Drosophila melanogaster: one gene and its partners. The protein of the gene in region 3 interacts with the protein of the main gene of each other region in a pairwise test. Each region holds a gene or a part of one and is shown on either strand. Other genes may lie near its edges. The genes, in order: CG11076, tj, CG4496 and Poxm.

Region 1 (3,487 bases), on a different chromosome or scaffold from region 3:
TTATCAAAAAAGAACTGGGATATAGTATCGCCCAGACACATTACCGCCGCCACATTGATGCCATCCTTTAGGTACGCTTTAAGTCTCTTCATCCTTATCAGAGATCAGTTCCATTCATAGCCCGATCCAAATTGTTTTAAATACGCAATTAAAACACAACTGAGAAATCGATTTGCTGTTGTTCGTGTAGTTTTAAAGGGTTGCCTAATAATCGCAAAGTGATTGGTGTCAATTGCTGAAGTGACAAAAATTGGCAACTCTGAATAATTATTTAAATTAAATTATGCTAGCGTATTCAACTTTTTAACGCGCGTGAGTCCTTTTAATTGTTACATGCCGAATGAGAAAACGTTAAATTGCGTTCAATATGCAATTTAATGTAATGTAATGTAAAATAACTTAAACGTTTTAAGTATCGAACTGTTTTAGCACAGAAATCTCTTTCGGAACATGCGCAACGCGTATTCTTAATATTCTTTTAAATATAAATCTTAACTTTAACCACCGCTCTTTCTCCGCAACTATTAAGGTACTGATATTAACGTCAGCTGTTCATAGTGCTGTGAACACGCCTTGACAAAGTGCAATTTTATTTCGTTATTAAATGACTACATTAATTTATGCAGCTTATATGTGATAATCTATAATCCAAATCGTTACATATTTTTATTTAATTACGTAAGTATGTGAATTTATCTTAAGTAAACTCTAATTCTTAATGGTTTCCATTCGACTTTTTTAAGCCTTCTTGTGCAATTACTTCGTCCAGGTCATTAGCGGCCGTTGCTTTCATTTAATTTAAGCTTCTTTTGTCTATTTCCCTACTGCATTTCCCGTTTTGTGACCGTTTGAATTAAATTTTTTCTTGCGCATTTTGGCAGGACCAACTTCCTCTGCTGGGTTCATTATATTTTTCTCGATGTCCTCTTCGTCTAAGAGATCTTTATATAGATCCGGGATTATTGTTTCCTTCATGAACTGCGGCGTACGACCGGTAAGCACCGACTGTCGCACATCGTCCTCTTTTTGTTCTAGCGTCTGTGTGGTGGTGTGCAGCTTGCTCCGGATCTTGTAGTAGTTAGCAGTGCTGCGAAGCTTGGCAGTAGCTTCCAAGAATTTCTCGTCTGCTTGACTAAGAGATGTGGAAATCATCTTCGGTAATTGGATGCGTTGCTTGTAGCTGCGCCCGAACAACGGATGTCGTTCTCGTAATAGGTACTTGGGTAGCGTTAGATCAGCTTGAATTGTATGTTCCTTCTGACCTGGTAGCGGTTGTTTATCATATAGACGCTTGCTGATTACCACATAGCCGACAAAGGGAATTTTCCGGAGGGCATAGGGACCCATAGATCTCAAATAGCCCAGTGCCTCGCTCTGTAACGTCGAGTTTTTGACGGCACGAACCTGGAGATCGCCCACGCTCTTCCTGCCAGGAAGCCTAATGCGCTTGCCGACTAGCAGATGTGGATCTGCACCCTTGGGACACTGGACCAGCCAGGCTTCGTCGGTCTGACCATCGAAATCCCAAAGAGCATCCCCGCAGCACTCACGAGCAGCCGCGCCTGAGGTCAGGTTCACGTACTGTTCCTCCTCCAGAAATTGGCTCCGAGGTTTTTCCTCCTGGCGGGAAAAGAGTTTTTTACTTATTTTCATTGAGCGTTGGGGAAATCAATGTATTGCAGAAAATGACCACACGTGGTACAGGTGGAAAAATACAAGGGAAATATCGATGCATCGATAACTTAAAATGATTTGAAGGAGTAAATATTGTAGTTATGTGTTTGTAAGCGTAAACACCCCTAACCTAGATAAACTATTAGATTTTAGCGATGGGTAGGAAGGAAATGTTTATAGCTGTTTCTCGCTAAAATGGAAGGGCTTAGCAAAAGTAATAAACCCTAAGTTTCCCATACCAACCAGTTTAACATAAACAAATTTATTTTTTAGGTTTTAAAATAACGCTTTTCTTCAGGCAGACAAGCCGACAAAAATTGTATTAAGACAAATATCGAAAAATTTTGTTTGCTTTTGATATCTTTTAAACAAAAATTAATTGCCAATCAGACTGACTAAGAATTGTTTACTCGCTTTTTCAACCATATCTTCTTCATCATCTTCATATCAGGATCACCAGCCGAGTCGATCTACACATGTCCCTCTGTATGTCGAGATCACAGGAACTACGAAAGCTAGATAGTGATTTAACAAGTTGAGACTTAACATTCCAGAGACGAAGAATCAGGGCAAGTTTTTTCATCGATGCTGCAACGCACAATCTATTGCCCACACGCCGCCCAAAACTGTCACGCCTACCACTATTAATATCATTTTTTGTCATATATTTTCCAAATTCTATCCATAAGCCATAAAATAATTTAAATTTCTCTTGCGTACTTGCGTTCTCTCTTGTTTTACTTATTTTTGTTGGTGCAGTTACCTCTACTCAGCCACATCAGCTTGCAATCCATTAAACCACCTTTTCATGGGTGTATCAGTCGTTAGTGTCGGGCAACCACAACAGTTACAGTTCATTGTGTATATATAAAAGTGGCATTCGGACACTCTCCTGGTGCGGTAACAACAACGTAAGTCCACATTATGGTCTGAATACGCAAAAATACTAAAACCTCGATATGTTTTGGAAGCGTAAATACTCAATATATCGCGACTACCGATTTGCTCATCACTAGGACTTCTGCTCGCCCGCACACTTCTCAGTTAGTTCGAGAAAAATGTTCGCGTTACGTGCTGCATCTAAAGCCGATAAGAATTTGCTGCCATTCTTGGGGCAATTGTGTAAGTAGCACAAAAATAAAAATTTTTAATTGATAACAATTGTATTAAATTGCGAAGTTCAGCACAAAATATGTGCTTTGGCTAATAGCGCAATTGTCGAACATAACCTATCGTTCAATAAAATGTTACGAGCGAAAAAAAATATTACATAACAATTTTGAATGATTTAAGGTTACTTCTGTTTTATAACATATATAACAGTACTCAATTTAAACGACTTTTGAAAAAAAAAAAGATTTTTTTAGTCAGACATTTGCGTGTACGTCTTTCTGTAAGTTAACTAGGTATGTACATATATTGTATGCCGATATTGTTTGACGTTTTAAATTGAATAAATTTTTTTTTCGTTATATTGCAATTGAATTCTTCACAAAGTATTTTGAAAATTAAAGTTACTTAAAAATTAAATTAATAATTAATAGTATAATATTAATTGTTCATCATTATCTTAAAAAATAATATTAAAAATTGTCGATATTGATGCCCAAATTGTTACTGTTTAAGTTTTACGATGATGTATTCTACTAGTATCACTTTCGTTAAGTATAACATAAATCTGTATATATTGGTATCTAGTGATAGGAAAATCAATAAACTGATAGTACTTTTTATTAAAAAATGATACCAATTAGCTTTACATATGGGGTATTAAGAAAACCTTTTCATACGCTGGCAATATAAATTAGCAAAC
Region 2 (5,777 bases), about 12 Mb from region 3:
CTACTACTCCAGAGCTCCTGCATGCGCCGTTACGCGACCGAAGTTTGTTGACATAACTTATCGAAGTCCAGAGGGATCGGGATCGAAGTGTTTATTTTGATTCTTAAACTGTTGCCCGCGGGGGTCGTCGTCGCTGGAAGCCCATTTATCCATGCCGACAGACCACACAGAAGATGCCACTTCTCGGAAAACGGCGAGATGAAACCCAAAATCTATGATGCAAGCTGAGACCCACTCGGTGGTTTCTAAAACCCAGATATGAATATGAATGTGGCATGGGGACAAAATAGAATACAATTTGAATACTATGAAAAACTGAGCATTCTATATTTTTACGATCTTCAATGTTTAAACTATCAAGCATCCAAAGAAACGAACGTAACTCTCAGTTCATGAGCATTCAATGAATCTTTTAATCCGTATCAATGTTTACAGTTGCACTGAAACTGAAATCTAACGTTTACTAGTTAGATTGCAAACCTTTTGGCTGGCAGGGAAGCGCCCAAGAAAGAACGCACATAGGATTATTCATTAATTTAGATTTATTTATTACTAAATTGTTTTATGCACACTTATCAACTACTCACAATTGTTTTTAGTTTGTAATTAATCTTTAATTTTCCGGCTCAGTATTCGCGTGTGTTTCTTCTAGTTCCACAAAGACAGAAATCTGAATGCATTCAAAAAATCTTAAATTTACATCTTTTCATCTTTATACGTAAGTGTGTGGGTGTATGTACATTATTTTCGATCATCATTTTCAGTGCTCATTAAATTGTATAGGACTTTGTTAGTTTGTTAGTTTACTTCAGTTGAGTTTGTTCTTCGCTTCGATCCAGTTTCACTTTATACATCGGTTCTTCCAGCTTGCGGTGTTTTAACTTAATACAACCTTTAGTTTTATTAGATGTATTGCTACTGAAGGATTGGAATTTTTGCGGGCGGTGTGGCTAAAACGGAAACGGCAGGGGAAGCACGGCCTCTAGAACAACTATCGCATCTATGATATTATAATTCGCTTCTGTTTCGCTTAATACTAGTAGGGAAACTAAGGCTAGAACTAATCAACAAATAAGCGTGTGTTACTAACTCGTACTTTGTAATAATTTAGCGATTGATAATCAGAAGCCGCTAGTTAATTTACCTTTTTGTTTTTGTTCCTTGGGTTTATACAATGTTTGTCCTTTATACATACGAGTTCCAATTAGTTTTATTTATAATCGATCTTTGCCTTAGTCAAACTGATAATCAGCAAAAGTTCCATCCAAACACGCTCTCTCTCTCTCTCTCGCACTTTACTTTCTATCTCATCTATCTCAATCTCTGTCGATCACTTTCCAAGTTCTCAAACTGATATTCATCGGAATTTATTGTCGCAATCAGAATAATGGCAAATTAAACGCTTAAAAACCCCTTTAATAAATTTCATAGTAACATAGCTAAACAGAATTCTGCGGAAACCGCCTAATTTTTCAGCATTATTGATTAAATGGAAATGTTTTTAAATTAATGAGGGAATAAATATCAACAGTGGTGGTAATGGGAATGCACTTCTCTTGAAAATCCAACCTAGTTACTAAATTATTTTTAAGAATACACAAAAATAGGGACAAACTTACAATAACGCGTGGTATAACACAAATCATTTTGAATGTATAACAAACAGAATTTGAATTCTGACATCTAACCCCTTGGAAACGCTTTAACAAACTCTTTTTGGAAAACATGTTCTTTCGAGTGGAGACTATTTGGAAAACATTCTTGGAATCAAACCAATTTACCTTATACATTGTGTCTAGGAAAAGCTCTTGGAAATGATCAACTCTTTGTGAAAGTACCTTAAACACGGAACGCTCTCTACTTAGTTGACCAGCTGCTGGGGATTCCACTGTGGACCCCGATGCTGGAGATGAAGTTGCTGGGGGTGCTGCTGCTGCTGCTGCGAGGAGGAGGATGAGGATGCGGAGGAGCCGCTGGCCACCGCCAGCTGGCGTCAGAGGTAGAATTCCGGAGAGCTTTGGCTATCGCCGCCGGCGGTTGCACCTCCCGCACCGACTCCGCCATTTGCCGCCCGCTGCAGACGCTGCATGAGGGCATCCCGCTCCTGGCAGACCCTCGAGTACTCCAGCTTCAGGCGGTGCAGATCCTGGTTGAGCACCCGGTTGGCCTTCTCCAGTTCGTGGCGCTGATGGAGTCGCTTGGACCGGCAGTTCTGGGCATAGCCGCGATTCTTCAGGGTGCGTCGCTTCTGCTTCAGACGCACTACCTCCTCCCGTGGGCAACCATGGAGCCGCTTGTTCAGCTCCCGCACCGTCAACGTGGTCAGCATGTCGTCATTGAGGCAATCCTCCAGCGTGGCATTACTGTAGGCACCCGAACAGGTTCTGGGCGACATGTTGTTCGAGGATCTGGTCGAGCTGGCGGAGAGCGGGCGGCACGGCTGAAGGGCAGCCCGTGTGATGACGCAGGAGCCGCCACCCACGCTGCCGGGTCCACCACTCCCGCTTCCACTGCCTCCTCCGCCTCCGCTGCTGCCACTCCCGTTGCTGGGCACTTGGGGCAGACAGGTGGGCGTCAGGGCACCCGAAGCACTACCGTACGAGTTCGAGTGCATGTTGATGGGCGTCAGTTCCAGATTGTGGAAGTGGTGGTGATGGTGGTGCGGATACTTGCTCTGCTGCAGCATCACCTGGTGGGGATGACCGCCGTGTCCATGCGGATGATGCTGCGCCTGCATCAGCGGCTGTCCGTGATGGTGGTGATGAGCTGCCGCCGCCTGCAGGGCGTAGTCCCGCTGTCTGTCCCACTCCTCCGCCTCCTCCTGGGAGCCCGGATAGGGCAAAGGCCGCAGATCCAGCGGCTGCTGGTCCGCCCGTATCGAGTTGGTCAGCCACATCATGTCATGGCTCAGTCCGGCACTCACCGATGCTGCTCCGGCGGAGGCAGCAGCTGCGGCGGCGGCGGAGGCGGATACGGATACGGAGCTGCCCGGTGTCCTCGCATAGTGGTGTGCGTAAGTCTGAGCCGGACAGCTGCTGCTGCCCGTGGGCGAGCCCACTACTGGTGGCGTTTCCGGCGGCGTTGAGGGCACTCCGCCCGGAACGCCCGCTCCCGAAGATGTGTTCACCAGAATCGCCTGTCCGGGCAGCGGACCATACTGCTCTGGTGGCGGAGAGAGCGGTTGCAGGCGCCGTTCGTCCATGTGCCACTGGTGATGGCCGGAGAAGGACCTCAGCTTGATGTGCGGCGATGGCGAGACCTCCACTGCTCCGGCGGGCTCTGGTCCGGACAGCGGCAGCGAGTCCGGGTCATCGTCCGGATTCGTGGGATCGCCGTGGATTGTCGTCCATTTAACCGCCACCGGCTGCGGTGGACTGTGATCCTCGCGCTTCACATGGCCCAAAGTCGTGACCTGGGACGCGGCACCGGCTCCATGCGATTGGCCAGCTCCATTTCCGCCCACCTCCAGGTGGTGCAGATCAAACTCCTGAACGTACGTGTCGTTTATGGTGGGATCTTCCATTTTCATTGGATCGACCAGGGACCGGAGAGGGTCGATTACGGGTCTCACATGCAAGGGAGTGACCGTGCTGATTGGTGGGTGGTGGTTAGTGGGTGGTTTCAAAGGTCAACTACGCGATCGGGGGTCACGGAACCAGGCACTGGCGCTTTCGGCCTGCGGCTAAGTTTTATCTTGATCTCAGGATTTAGGTTACGTTTTTTTTTGGGGTTACCCCAGAATCTGTTAGATATTTACTTCGATGCCGGTTTCTTAGATTTCGTTGTAAAAGATTGGATTGCTTATTTATGATTTAAAATGTAAGTATGCTTTTATTAAAGCGATCACTATCCGCACTTTGGCGCTTAATTCATTTGTAAGCTCGCTCTCTTTCCAATTTTGCTCACTAATTTCGCGAACGCGCTTTTCGCGTCCAATGTGAAAGAGTTAACGGTGGCGACTGAACTCCGTGTCCGTTTCAACTAAGGTCGGACTGAATCTGACTGGAGGGTGGCTCTGCTCTGGAAGCTCTGCTCTGGATGCTCTGTTCCCTTGATGATAACTGTTAGAATGGCAGCGCAGCGCGCGCACACCCACACACACACACCCATTCCTTTTCCCAACAGCCGACAAACAAAACGACTTGCCAAAACCAAAAAGCCGACCAGCCCAACAACAAACAAAACCGAGCTCGAACGCCATTCGCTGATGCTTTTGCTTTTGGTGCGAGGGAACTCCTGTTGGAAACGTGGAAATGACGGTTCTAGAGGAAGGAAAGAGGCGAAAGGGCGGGGAGGCACTTGTCCGCAAGAGAGAGAGAGTGCCTTTCGTTGTAGTTGTAGTTGTTGTTTGTGCTTTTGCCGGCAGCTGCTGCTCTCGCGCACAACAACAACAAAAGTCAAGCCGGGAAAGCTTCGTAGATTCGATGCACTGCACAGTGGGATAAAAAATTGCAAATATAAAATAATTTCATTCGTACATTTTGACAAGTTTAAGTTGTCTAAATCAAATACAATATTTTATAGCTAAAGGACTAACTTTGAACTTTGAAAAAGCGATTATATTTTGATCTGCTTTAAATGTTACAACACTTGAATATCTATACAAAATTCTATTAATTTCACGTTCTTTTTTAAGTATTTTAAAGAAATTTAGACCTTTTCGTGGAAATTCAATCAATTCTTAGCTAAAATCGCTTCCCTTGACTAACAATCATTCTGGTCAAAGAACATTACTTCACCAATAACAAATATGTTGATGTTGTTAACAGTCTAAAAAAGCGACTTAACAAGCCAGAAAATTGACTGCATTGCCTTATAATTGGACATGGAAAAACATATTTTATGCATTATGCTATATACATTATTATATACTATATACATTATTAAATTTTATATATACTGATGAGCTATTTAATGTTTAAATTTCGGAACATGTAGCACGTAAGTAATGTTTCAGTAAGCCCTTGATACCCAATACCTCGACCACTGTGCAAGAGCACAAATCTATGCTCTGGGATTTCACTTTGTTGGTGGTGGAATGGAACCGTTGGTGTGGCTGCTCTGCTGCTCGGTTTATTGTTTGCGTTTTTGAATTGCCATGGAGCGCATAAAAAATGGCACACATAGACACACAGACACACTTTATGCTGTCGTCGACTCCGCCCACTTTGCCACTGTGTGCGCGTGTGTGTGTCGGTGTGGCTCTCCCCATCTGCGAGTGTGTTGGTGTCTGAATATTTATGAGCAACTACCACGGAAATTCCCGCATAGCCCCATTTGCCGACTTCCAGTCTCATTTGGCTGGCCATCCACACGAAGTCGGTGATGGAGGTGGAGATGGATGTGCCCATATGTACATACATACATATGTATATCCACATAGGAAAGTATATGCAGGAGTGGGTCGCACAAGCACAGGCACATCCATATCCACGTCCACATCCACGTCCACTGTTCCATTTTCCAGTGCATAAGTCAATGGGAGATGTTTTAGCCGAGATAAGTCGCTCGATTTGTTTTGGCTCGTATATAATACACTGCCCACTCCATGGGCATGTGTGTGTTTGCTTGGGCCAAAGGATTCCATGGTGCACAGGTGCATTTTTATGCTGATCCAGCGGAAACGGAGTACAGAACTTAGGAGCCTCCGACGGCCCAACTTGGACACGGGGCGCTCTTGTTTTACTTTAATTTGAACCCCTTTTTTCTGACTTTTTGTTTTGAGCAAATGTTTTGTCTTCGCTGGCCAAACAGATTGCTCTGATGTAATATTGTTG
Region 3 (6,709 bases):
CCAACAAACATTGCAACATGTGGCCAAAACGGTGGCCATGGTCAATCTTTCGGATCATGTGGTGGATGTGGTCTTTACCATCTTTGATGAGAATAGTAAGTTCGTAATTGAGTGTAATTAGAATAACAATCTTAATTCATTCGGCAAACCTCTTTCAGATGACAACCAACTCAGCAACAAGGAATTTATTTCGGTAATGAAGAATCGCGTGCAGCGCGGATTGGAGAAACCCAAAGACACAGGATTCCTAAAGATGATGCGATCGGTGTTCAAGTGCGCCAAGGAAACCAAGCCTGTGCTGCTGGACATCTAAAGATCGTCACTATGTGGATTCTCCCGCTTCAAGCGCCCCAATCTTAGTCACTTTTTCCTACGCTTACGCTTTTTACTATTTATTTTTGTAGTTAACGTTTACATCAATCGATTTTAGCTCAATCTTTGTAATTGTTCGACCCCCGGCAGGTTGACGACTGTCTTCTGTATATTTCACCGTCTCTTGTGCACTTAACTCGTTTATTTTTTAATAAAAATATTATATTTATAAATAAGTACATCTTTAGGAATTTTTGCTGTAGCTCATCATTCAGTTCTTGGATTATGGCGCACGTTACATTTTACATTTCAAAAGTGTATTATAAGTGCTTAAAAAAGAATATGAATGAATAAATTAATAGTGATATAAAACACTTTAAAAAGATATGAATATATTAATAAGGAATGTTTTAATGATCCTTAATAGCTAATTTATATGAAATATGGGATTTTCAATCCTCTTTATGCATTAAAAAGAATGACCAAGAGTTTACAACTCTCGCGCAGTTAATATTAATTGTGGGCTCAAAACATTTTCTATGCCACATCTACGTCATCCTGCTCCTCGTCCGCCACATCATCAATGCTCATCCCGTACAACTCCAAGTCGTGCTTTTTAAGATGGGCCGTATAAGCATCCAACTCGGTGAATCGTTGCTGACACTCGCAGCACTCTAGGCAATCTTCCACAGAACTGTCGCCATCGTCGTCACTCTCGTAAATGGACGACTTGCGGCTACTCAGCTGATCCTGATGATTGTTCTTGTGATCCGAGTACTCCAGATAGTCCCTGAATTTGGAGGGACACCTCAGGCACTTGTACCAGCGATCCCTGACATGGGTGACCATGTGTTTCTTGAGCGTGGAGCACTCCCTGAAGGGTTTCCTGCATTTTGAGCAGCTAAATGGTTTCTCGCCAGTATGGATCATATAGTGGCGTTTAAGATTATGACGAGTTCCGAAAGGACGATGACACAAAGGACACGGATAAGATCTGCGAGTGCGACTCATGGACTTTCCAGCTATATTTCCATCGTTGCTCAAGGAAGATGAGGAGTTGGCACTGCTGCAGCTGCGAGGAAGTGGCGGGCGACTTGGCTGCGTGTGTGAAGGAACTTTTTCCGGTGGAGATTGAATAGGTGGTATTAAAGTAACCATTAAACTGGGTTGTGTTGCCACTTGTGGCTGCTTCTCATTTTCTAGAGCCGCTTCCTCTATTTCGTCATCATCCCCTTCCATCTCATCCGAATGTTCCTCCGTTGTTTTTTCGCCCAGTTCCTCTGGTTGAGGTTTTACCATAAGATTCTTGCTTTCACAATCCGCACACCTTGTAGAGTCCTGCTCCAAAGGTGCTCCCAAGTGACAGATCATGCAAATGAATTGTGGATCGTGTGAGTGCCTTCGACGATGCTTTTTAAGATCGCTGAATTCCCGAAAACGTCGCTCGCACAGATCACAAGGGAATGGTCTTTCACCTGGGGAAAATTTAGTAGAAAGTGATAAGTGGAGGTATTTGAATATTTTATGCGAAGTTTCGTACCTGTGTGGATCATCATATGACGTCTTAGATTGTAATTAGATTGCACTTTCTTCCCGCAGTCAGGACATTCGTACATATGCCTTCCCCTTCTGTTGGCACCTGGACGCCTCTTTACTAATCTCCTCGACCCAGAAGATTTCCTCTTGATGACATTGTCTGTCTTCTGTTCGTCCTCCTGGTCGGAGGGCACGATGATCACCAGTTCCTGTGGATTCTGGCTTCCATCCTGTCTCTGCTCATTCAGGACGCAGCTTACAGCGTTTGATGGAAGACTTACATCCTCATCTACTTCACTATCTTCATCGTGATCACTATCACTCAGTTCGATTTCTGCGACAACCCTGTGCACCCGTCTGGGAATCAGTTCGATATCTGGTGTTACCCTCCTAATGGATGAATTCCAATGGGCTAGACTCCTGGCTGCGCTGATTATGAGACCCCGAGGAGATTGAGCCTCCTCCTCGTCCAATTCGATTACCTCTTGATCTCTTCGCTTTTCGGCCTCCCGCCTTTCCTTCTCTCTTTTCTCCCTTTTCTCTTGTTCCATGATCCTTTTGATTTCCAACTCCTTTTCCCTCTGCTGCTGGCCGATTTGCCACAGGAAACTCTTGATTTTCACATCATCAATGGATATGAAGTTCTCCTCGGGCTCCTGGTACTCATATCTGACTGGATCGGGCGGTATTAACCCGCAGGCGGCGTCGCAGCTAGCGTCGCAGCAGGCGGAGGCAGAACAGCAGGGCAGCAGAGTGCAGTCCTTGCAGCAGTCCACGCAGGATGATGGTTTATTCAGAGCCAGCTCCATCAAATCTGCAATGTTACAATAAACAATTTAGAAAAGTTTAAGAAAGGAACGTAAGAATTGCACTATCATTGTACTATCAGAAAAAAACATTGCATACATGTAGGCGTGTTTTATATAAATCACATTCTACTATGGATAAATCGGCACTTATCAGTATTTCCAAGAAGCGTACTTTCTAGTATCGAATAATCACAATAAAACCTCTCAAACCATAAAAAAAGAATATATTATAGGGCACTACATTTCCATCGATCACATTGAATAGCCTGTATTGGTTTATATTAATATCCTGGACAAGTCGCATACGAACCATTGATAACCCAGGAGATTCCGATCGAATGAATTCTGCGATTGCACACACACCCCTCTCTCACACTTTACAAAGCTTCGCTCCTTTCTTTCGTTTTTTATCCGCAATTTGTGCGCTCGGCGCTGCGTCTGCCGTGCGAAGAAGTGAAGAAGAAACTGGATTCGCGATTCGCGATTTGCGGCTTGCCGAGCAGCAACCTCTCGGCAAAAACAACAAAACGCCGCAAAAGTCGAGCTTCGAGTTGACGCCGACTGCGCTGCCCGGCTTGTGAATCAGCGAAGCGAGCAGAGCAGCAGCAGCAACAACAACAACAACCATGTGGGCAGCGCTTAAGGCTTTTTTTTTGTGTGCACGAACGTGAGCCTTTAGCCCCCCTTTCCCACCACTGCCCATTGGCGTGTTAACTTGATTTTTCTTGGGGCCACGCAAGAGCGAAACACGAAAAACAAAGAAAATGCCCCACAACAACAACAAGGGCAACAACAAAAACAATGCAATTACAGCCGGAGCAACAGGCGCAGCAGCAACAACAACTCACGATTTTCAAGATTGCTCACAAGAGCAGGGGCGTAGGCAGGACATGAGAAGGGGTGAGGTTACCAGGAGTGAAAGGAATTCCTTACTATATATACTTGTATATAACAACGATCTAATCTTCAATGAAATGCCAAAAAAAAGATAATTTGCTTTTTGTTAAATAGGAACGATAATGTAGGATTAAAAATTTAAAGTATTTATTGTGGTTGGGGCAAATAACCCCCTTCGACGCAAATGCTTACGCCCGTGCAGAGAGGCGAAAAGAGAGCTGGAGAGTGATATCAAGGGGGAGGTGGGCGAGAGAGTGGGCGAGTGGGAGTACGGAAGCATGGCGAGAGCGCGGTGGGAGGGGGTAGAGGAGCAACGAAAAGGGAGCAGCGTGACCAAAGCGTAAAAGGCAACAACAACGGCGTAGCCAGCGCCAACGCCGCTGTCAACGTCAACGTCGACGTCGAAAAAAAATTTATTGACGTCCGAGCAGCAGCGCTAAAGTAAAACCGTGCGCCTTCAACTTTTTTTATTCGCATTTGCTTTTCTTCTTATTTTTAGCTTTTTGTTGTTGGTTTCCTTTTTATGCAAGTATATACATATGTACCTTCGTACATATGTACATATATCTAAGTAATTGACTTTAATTATTGGCCGCTTCTTTGGTTATTTTCCATTTTCAGGGCGATCTTCGGTAAAATGCCCATAAATGCCTGAAAACCCGCGATCGTTTTTTATGGAGTGTTAAAAAATGGCTTGCAGGTGAAAAATTACTAATATTCGCGTTTTGTTTAGTATAAGCCTTTACGATAAGCCATATACGACAAATTTGACTAGTTTTCGATTTTGAAAACGTAAACATGTTTCTCATCCTTCATCCTGTGATTTAAATAATTATTAAATTCAAATAAAATTAAATAAATTTAAAGCATTCAGCAATTAAGAGATAATCTTATACATACATACATATTCTAAATAACTAACCATATTTAAACAGGAAGAGACAAACTCACCTTTATATTTTTTCGCATCCGACTTATATAATCACTTTTGAGTCACTTTTGGCTGCCTAGGATAGCGTGTTTTCTTCTAATTTGTATTCCATTGGCGTGGGTAGTGGGGTTCTGCCCCTGTGATATATGGAGCCAGGTTCCCAGATCCGCTTCGAATGCTTTGGGCTAGGCTCCCGATTGCTTTGGTCTCTCGGTCTCGAAATATTGGCGATCGTGACTGCAGCGCTTAGTTATCTTATTTTGTTGTTTTTTTTTTTTTTTTTTTTTTGCTATAAAACTCGTTTGTATCGGATCCCCTCACACGTCCACAGACACCCACTCGACTTGGTCCGTGTGGAAACGGCCTGGTTTATCGGTCTCGGTCGGTCTCGGTCCCTGGCTTCTATCTTCTGGTCTGCGGGATTGGTTCGTCCGTGTTCAAGGCACGAGCATCTGGCCATGTGCATTGTGTCCTATCTGTGTGGGGAAACCAGTATGTCGCTGTTTGCGAATGGGGATTGGGGATTTGGGGAGCAATGCTCGGCTTCTCATTACCCAGGTGTTCGAACTTTTCGGTGCGTGTGTGTGCATATCGTGTATGTGGATACTTACTCGAGCTTGCAGGTGCTTCATGTGGCTGGCACGATATTACGCTGGGCGACGTTATTCTAGGCATACTCATAAAAGTTGTATATATAATAATATAAATTATACCTGCTTTTAATATTTATAAAGTAATGAATGCTATGGCCGTAGGAATTGTGCATTTTCTATCTGAAATATACTCATTTTGAATAGGCACTTTCTTGCTTTAGGTTTAGTATCTTATGTACATAAAATATGGTCAAGTTCACTGCCCGCGAGATACTTTTTACTTAAGTCGCTATTTATAATCTAGTTAACATATTTATTTAATTATTTATATAGTAGTTAATTGTTTAAGCCAACCAATGAAAACAAACAATTTGATCAATTGAAAAAATGTGTATTTCTTTTTGGATCCTTTTTAAGTATAACTTTTTTTCTTGAAACTATGTAAATTCGCTTACGATAATTAGAATCGGATCGTAAATCTATATAATATATGCGTTACTATATCAGTAAGGTTTTTGTGGGATACGCGCAGATATCCGCGCTAAATTGGATCACATTATAGGCAATATAATGCTGGATATATTATTACACATAAGCATAGAATAAACATATTTGGCAAAATTGGGGTTTTCTTCCTAATATCTAAGGGGTGAGGTGGCGACTAAAAACAAAACTAATGTACGTCGATTATTAACCGAAACATTGGAAATGGGAAAACATTCTATAACACAAAGATCGAGGCAATAAACTCTGGCTATATATAGTATAGTGAACCTTAGGCTAACATATTAAAACCGATTGATTCTAGGGGTGAAGGGAAGTGCGCAGCGTTAAATGATATGCAAGATGGTTTAGAACTTCAGACAAACAACTTAACTATGTACAACAAAGCTACGATCTAAAGTTAAGCAAGTCGGAGGATCTTTTGAAACTCTCAACTTAAGCGTGTGTGTGTAATTGGTTATTTCGGGTCGATTTTCTTAAACAAAAATCAAAGTACCACTAATTTATCTTTTGTCTCTTCCACGAAGATTTGTTTTGAACACTACGGGAAATATACATTTTAAACCATTTTTAATCCTTTACATATTACACCAAAGGTATTCTTAATTCAATTTTCTTTCTAAAAAAATATTGCTTGTGGTTTTTATAACAAAACCTTTGGTTGAGTTTTAGAACTTAAAAATGATCAAGCTATGCAATTTTATTCGAAAATATTTTCTAAAGCATTCAAAACAAATCAGCTAAAGTGCAGCAATGATTAACTTTTGGCTCCTGAGATTATAAGCATTTCTTAGAATTTCCTAAAATCGACCCCTAAACTAAGTTAATCTGTGTATGTTCTTAAAGCTTTTGCGGCACATCTTTGCTGACGGCTCCCGTTCGCTCGTGATTGACCACAAACTTCTTGGCGCCCGACAATCCCTGCTTGTTAATGTAGAAGCTCTTTTGGGCCAGCGGCGAACCACCGCCATCGGAATCAACCACCAGGCGATTCAGGAAAGTGGCAGCCGTCTTGGCACCACTATCGCAGGAGGATGACTCTATGCTAATGGTGGAGCATCCACCGATCGATGAGGTCTCACTTTTGGCATCGTCCATCAGAGTGGCATCATCCACCAGGTCGTTGA
Region 4 (4,568 bases), on a different chromosome or scaffold from region 3:
TTTTTAAAGTACATTGTAACTATAAGAATTATTTGTTTTAAAACAAAGGCAATGTCGGAAATGGCGTTCGTCAAACCACAAAATGCAGGGAAATGCAGTCGGCAATGAGCAGAAATCAGAAAGTGACAGGGAGAGGGCCAATTGGATTCGCAACAAAAGGTATGAGCAGGTAAGCGTAAGCCAACTCAAGGAGGTGTGTCCAACGCGCAACAGTGTGTGTGGGCCAAAACACACACACACGCGCACTAAGTGCACACACAGCCATGCTAAACAGCCAGCGAAGAGAGCGAGCACAACATTAAGAATAGCAAGAGCGGCGATTTGACCATTTTAATGAGGGAATGACAACGACAATTGGCATCTATCATTAAATGGCGGTATTCAGAATTAGTGACAATCAGATGAAGACGGCATTTCTTATAATTAACTCTAACCAAGCAAGACGCAACGCCTCAGCGAGAGTTGGCATCACGCATACGCCGCATTGGCCGGGAGGTGGATCCCTGGGGATCTACGGGGTTAGCTGTCTGTGCCGCTTTATTAGCGATATGGCTTTCTTAATGAACCAAAAATAGATGCACGCGCTCCGAGAATTCCCACAGCCCCGCCCCTTTCCTTTTCCTTCCGTTTCTCTCCTTCTATCCTTCTCCCTCGGCTCCTTTTTCGTCTGCTCCTCATCTGTGTGACACTAAGAAGTCATGACATCGCTCGCCCACCCTGCGTAACGCTACGGATACGCTTACTTGCTTCAGATTGGCCATTCAAGCATTCAGAAATTAACTCCGCCCGGTTGCGTATGCTCACTCACTCGGTTCGGTTCGTCTGTGTAGGTATTGCAGCGGAGAGAGAGCGAGAGTACGAATTCCGATCCATGGATACACCCACACATCCGTTGGCACACAAACACAAAGTTGAGCGACTACAGGAGCGGTAACTGGGGAAAAAAGGAGAGATGGGTTGTTAGCTTAGTTTATTATCCATCAGCAAGAAAACGGAAATATGTTATGATAAATAATAAAAAAATTGTATAGATTATTGTGTATAACTTGATGTAATAAAGTCTTAAAAACCTTCTTCTAAACTTCTGAATTCGATCTCTTTATTAAAATATTTAATTTATATGAACCCTTTACTTTAAACACTTACAAGATATTTCGATACCAAAGTTACTGGCGCCTTAACTCTTCTGGGCTTACCCTCAATTCGCTGCCTGCGCTCCTGATCGCTGAAAGACATTCTTCATTTTTATTATTTGCCCGCGGTCCACCAACAAACGCACACCAGTGCGCGATCATCGCCATTAAAACCCACATATACGCTCGACCGACCGCCCCTTCCTCTCACGGATGAGTGTGTGTGTGCTTGCGGAGGAGAATGCGGAGAGTGAGAAAAAGAGAGAGCGAGATCTTGGGATGCTGCGTCGACGCGGTGGCTTCCACTTCCACTTGAGCCTGTAGATGTGGATGTGACTGTGGCTGTGGTGGTGATATTCAATGTGTGCGTGGACGTGGATTGTGGGCGATCTTGATCGGCAGCGCCGCGGGCAGCGTTAGTCGCAGCAGACACGGGTGACGAGCAGCAACGATCGTTTTTGGAGAGCGCGCCAGGTTTTCCCGATCCAAACCGTTCCCAACCGATACGCTACGACCCGATACGCTAGAGCAAAAAGGCCATCGAAAGATTTAAAGGCGCGCGCACGGATCAGTGAATGCTGTTTAAATCGGTTCATTTGCAAACCATCAATCGCACGGGAGGTCCGCCAGTCAAGTCCAAAGTAAACCGACATAATTCCCAAAATCAAAGCATAACAAACCCATTGTAGTGTCATTAAGTGTGTGTAGTTCCCGCTTCCCCAATAAGGTGTGATAAGTGCGTGATAATTTTCGAGCCAACCTACTCGAGAGCGATCGTTTTGGCCCGAAAATGTGCTAATCAGATCTCAGTCTTGGTTCACGGCATAGTAGGCATCGCAGCCCGATGCTGTCCCGCACAACTGGCGCCAATTTGTATACAAATTTCATGCCTTAATTGAAACTCACATTATAGCCAAGTGCGAAAAGTTAACGACTAGGTAACCACCGACAATCCCCAGCAAAGCAGAGTCCAACTATTCCGGCGAATCCAATCGGAGAAAGTTCCACGGCGGAGTTGGCGAAAGGCAGATTTGGGTGCCCACAATTGCAATTCTGGAGTTCTTCAATCAATTGCCATCGGCCGAAATGGACCCAGGTATGTCTCAATCCATGACTCACAAAGATATAGGCCTCAGAATTCATTTCCAAATTAAAATTTTTAGATCTATCGGCATTTTTGAGGTGCCGACGGCATTGGGTTTCTTTAAAAAGCGTAGTAGCTATTTTATTGATAGATTTGGGTTAATATAATCAGAAAAACAAGAATATGTATATTGCAGGAAATATTGATAAGACTTTTGAAATCACATTTCCCTCTCTATCTTAAAATATAAGGTAACGAAAAGACAAATTCAAAAGTAGCACTATATTTTCACTTAAATCTCTTAACTTAAGCCCGCCACTCGAGTGTTTTGCCAATAAAGCCCTCTTGTCCGATCCTCCAGCCAAGTCCTTATCCGGATCCCCTAACTGCTTGGGATAAACACAATCGCTCGCTGGACCAACTTCTTTTTTTTTTTTTTTTTTTTTTTGGGCAACATCAAGAGGCAGATGTTTGCTTTTGATTTTCGTTTCAAAAGGCTGCCGTCGCTTGGCGCATGATCGACAGCCTCGCGGTAGCCGCGGCACTTGTTTGACTTTCGATGATGTCGCCGACGTCCGCACACGTACCCGATTCCAAAACCCAAAACCCTAAACCGAAAATCCAAAACCCATAACCCCAATCCCAATCCCAAACTCCGGAGCCAAGGCTCCTAATTTAACTAATGATCGTTGTAATGTTTCTGCCTTTGTCGTGCGGTCTTCACTTTTGGCTCCAAGTGTCCGTGTCTCTGTTTGTCCATGTGCTTTGGGCCAAAAGCAAAATGCGAGTGCAAGACATGGCCTTATGGCCGAAAACTACGCTACACAAGTGTGTAAAGATTTGATCAGTTCTCTCAGTTGTTGACAAACATGTGCGCAATCGAATAATTTGGCATGCGTCGATTTACTTTTACAAATTTCGAATTGCTTAGATCATCTTTTGAAATAATTTGCCAATAGTTTTCAATTTCTATGAGTGACATACAAGTGTGACTGACTATGGGTAATCTTTTATAATGGTATTCCCCACTTAGTTTCAAGTATTTATTTGTTTGCTTGAGCCTCTTTATGGCAAAGTATCAAAAGGACATACACGAATATATATTTTTCCACTTGTCCGAGCTGAAAAGAAGTTATAAGTCGGCTAGGAGGTCCCGCACTTTTGGTCCATTAATGACATGCTTTCGATGTTTTGACATTCTGTTTGTACGCCAGCATTGTTTGCTCACTAGGAGACGTCGAAAAAGATATAGACGCCGATGCAGACCCATGCTCATGCCCGAACCCAAACCAAAACCCAGACTCTGGACCAGAGGTGCAGAAATGCGTGACTAACGGCCACCGGTAGCCATCTACTTCGGTAGCTAAACATGAAAAGCCCACCAGACGCGGGCCGCAAGTGCAAGATGTTAAAATCACAGAAGGGGCAGTAAAACAAAAGGCGCAGACGATGGCCACGAAAGGCAGGCAAACACTTGAGATCCGAGGAGGAAAACGTCGCGTCAATGTGTACATGCCTTAATGGAAGAGTCTATATGGTATGGGAGTAGGTGCCCAGGAGCAGCGACTGCGGGAGGATGCGGCGGGGACTGATCTGAAAGCCCGACCAGTAGCTTCCTCCCGTGGATACCGATGATTGCGGTTCGGGTTTGGGAAAACGCTTCACTGCCTCGGCTTGATTGTGTGGCGTCGTTTCCCCTGAGTTCTTTAATTAAATCACATCCCCGACCGCTGATGCGGAACATTCATTAAGCGCATTTGCAGTCATTTTGGGCATTGCTCGGCGAGCTTAAAAAAGTTGCACTAAATAGGCTTTGAGTATAATTAAAACCTCCAAAACCCTTTGCATTTTATCCTTTGAATAGTATGTTCTACTTTTTGTTGTAATATGCTAGGTTTCTCACTGTAGATCAGTTGACATTTGCTCCCTTTGGGCGTGGACATCTCCCCATGGATCCACAACCTCTGACATCTGACAAGTGTAGTTCATGTTCTTGGAAGCAAACTCAGCTCATTACCATATATTTAATGAGTTTCTAATCGTTAGGGGGCACGTGTTTGAGCCAGTTCATTCTGGGATAATGAATGCGATCGCATCAATAAGCGGGCGGCTAACATCTGGTTCTAACCCCTAACCCCTAGACTCTAACCCCTTGAGATGGCCTGTGTCAAGTCCCATGGGGGCGATGGCGACCCAAAACCGGAACTGCCACAATCATTCCAAACTCCATTTCTCAGTCTCGAATTTGGAGTCCTAGGATCAGAGCTGTGAAACTGGCTATTTTCCAGCTAGCTCTAGAAGTTCATTTCATACAATAAAATGATATGAAATTATGTAGCTAAAGGAAATTA

What was found.
Region 1: the proteins of CG4496 (region 3) and CG11076 interact in a two-hybrid assay, tested with the Drosophila melanogaster proteins (one large-scale study listed by BioGRID).
Region 2: the proteins of CG4496 (region 3) and tj interact in a two-hybrid assay, tested with the Drosophila melanogaster proteins (one large-scale study listed by BioGRID).
Region 4: the proteins of CG4496 (region 3) and Poxm interact in a two-hybrid assay, tested with the Drosophila melanogaster proteins (one large-scale study listed by BioGRID).

What each region holds. Positions count from the first base shown.
Region 1 is NC_004353.4:1,029,158-1,032,644, forward strand, and holds CG11076 (uncharacterized protein), read right to left. Parts: upstream 1,819-3,487; 5' UTR 1,654-1,818; coding exon 814-1,653; 3' UTR 554-813; downstream 1-553. Other genes in the region: mitochondrial inner membrane protein MPV17, read right to left, coding at 1-92; ATPsynbeta (ATP synthase, beta subunit), read left to right, coding at 2,733-2,796.
Region 2 is NT_033779.5:19,462,508-19,468,284, reverse strand, and holds tj (traffic jam), read right to left. Parts: upstream 4,019-5,777; 5' UTR 3,530-4,018; coding exon 1,994-3,529; coding exon of another isoform or gene 1,862-1,993; 3' UTR 527-1,861; downstream 1-526.
Region 3 is NT_033779.5:7,184,980-7,191,688, forward strand, and holds CG4496 (uncharacterized protein), read right to left. Parts: upstream 5,032-6,709; 5' UTR 4,506-5,031; intron 3,090-4,505; exon of another isoform or gene 2,968-3,089; intron 2,663-2,967; 5' UTR 2,658-2,662; coding exon 1,853-2,657; intron 1,788-1,852; coding exon 850-1,787; 3' UTR 501-849; downstream 1-500. Other genes in the region: MICU1 (mitochondrial calcium uptake 1), read left to right, coding at 1-95, 159-313; CG4497 (uncharacterized protein), read right to left, coding at 6,423-6,709.
Region 4 is NT_033777.3:8,330,776-8,335,343, reverse strand, and holds the start of Poxm (Pox meso), read left to right. Parts: upstream 1-1,551; 5' UTR 1,552-2,219; coding exon 2,220-2,229; intron 2,230-4,568.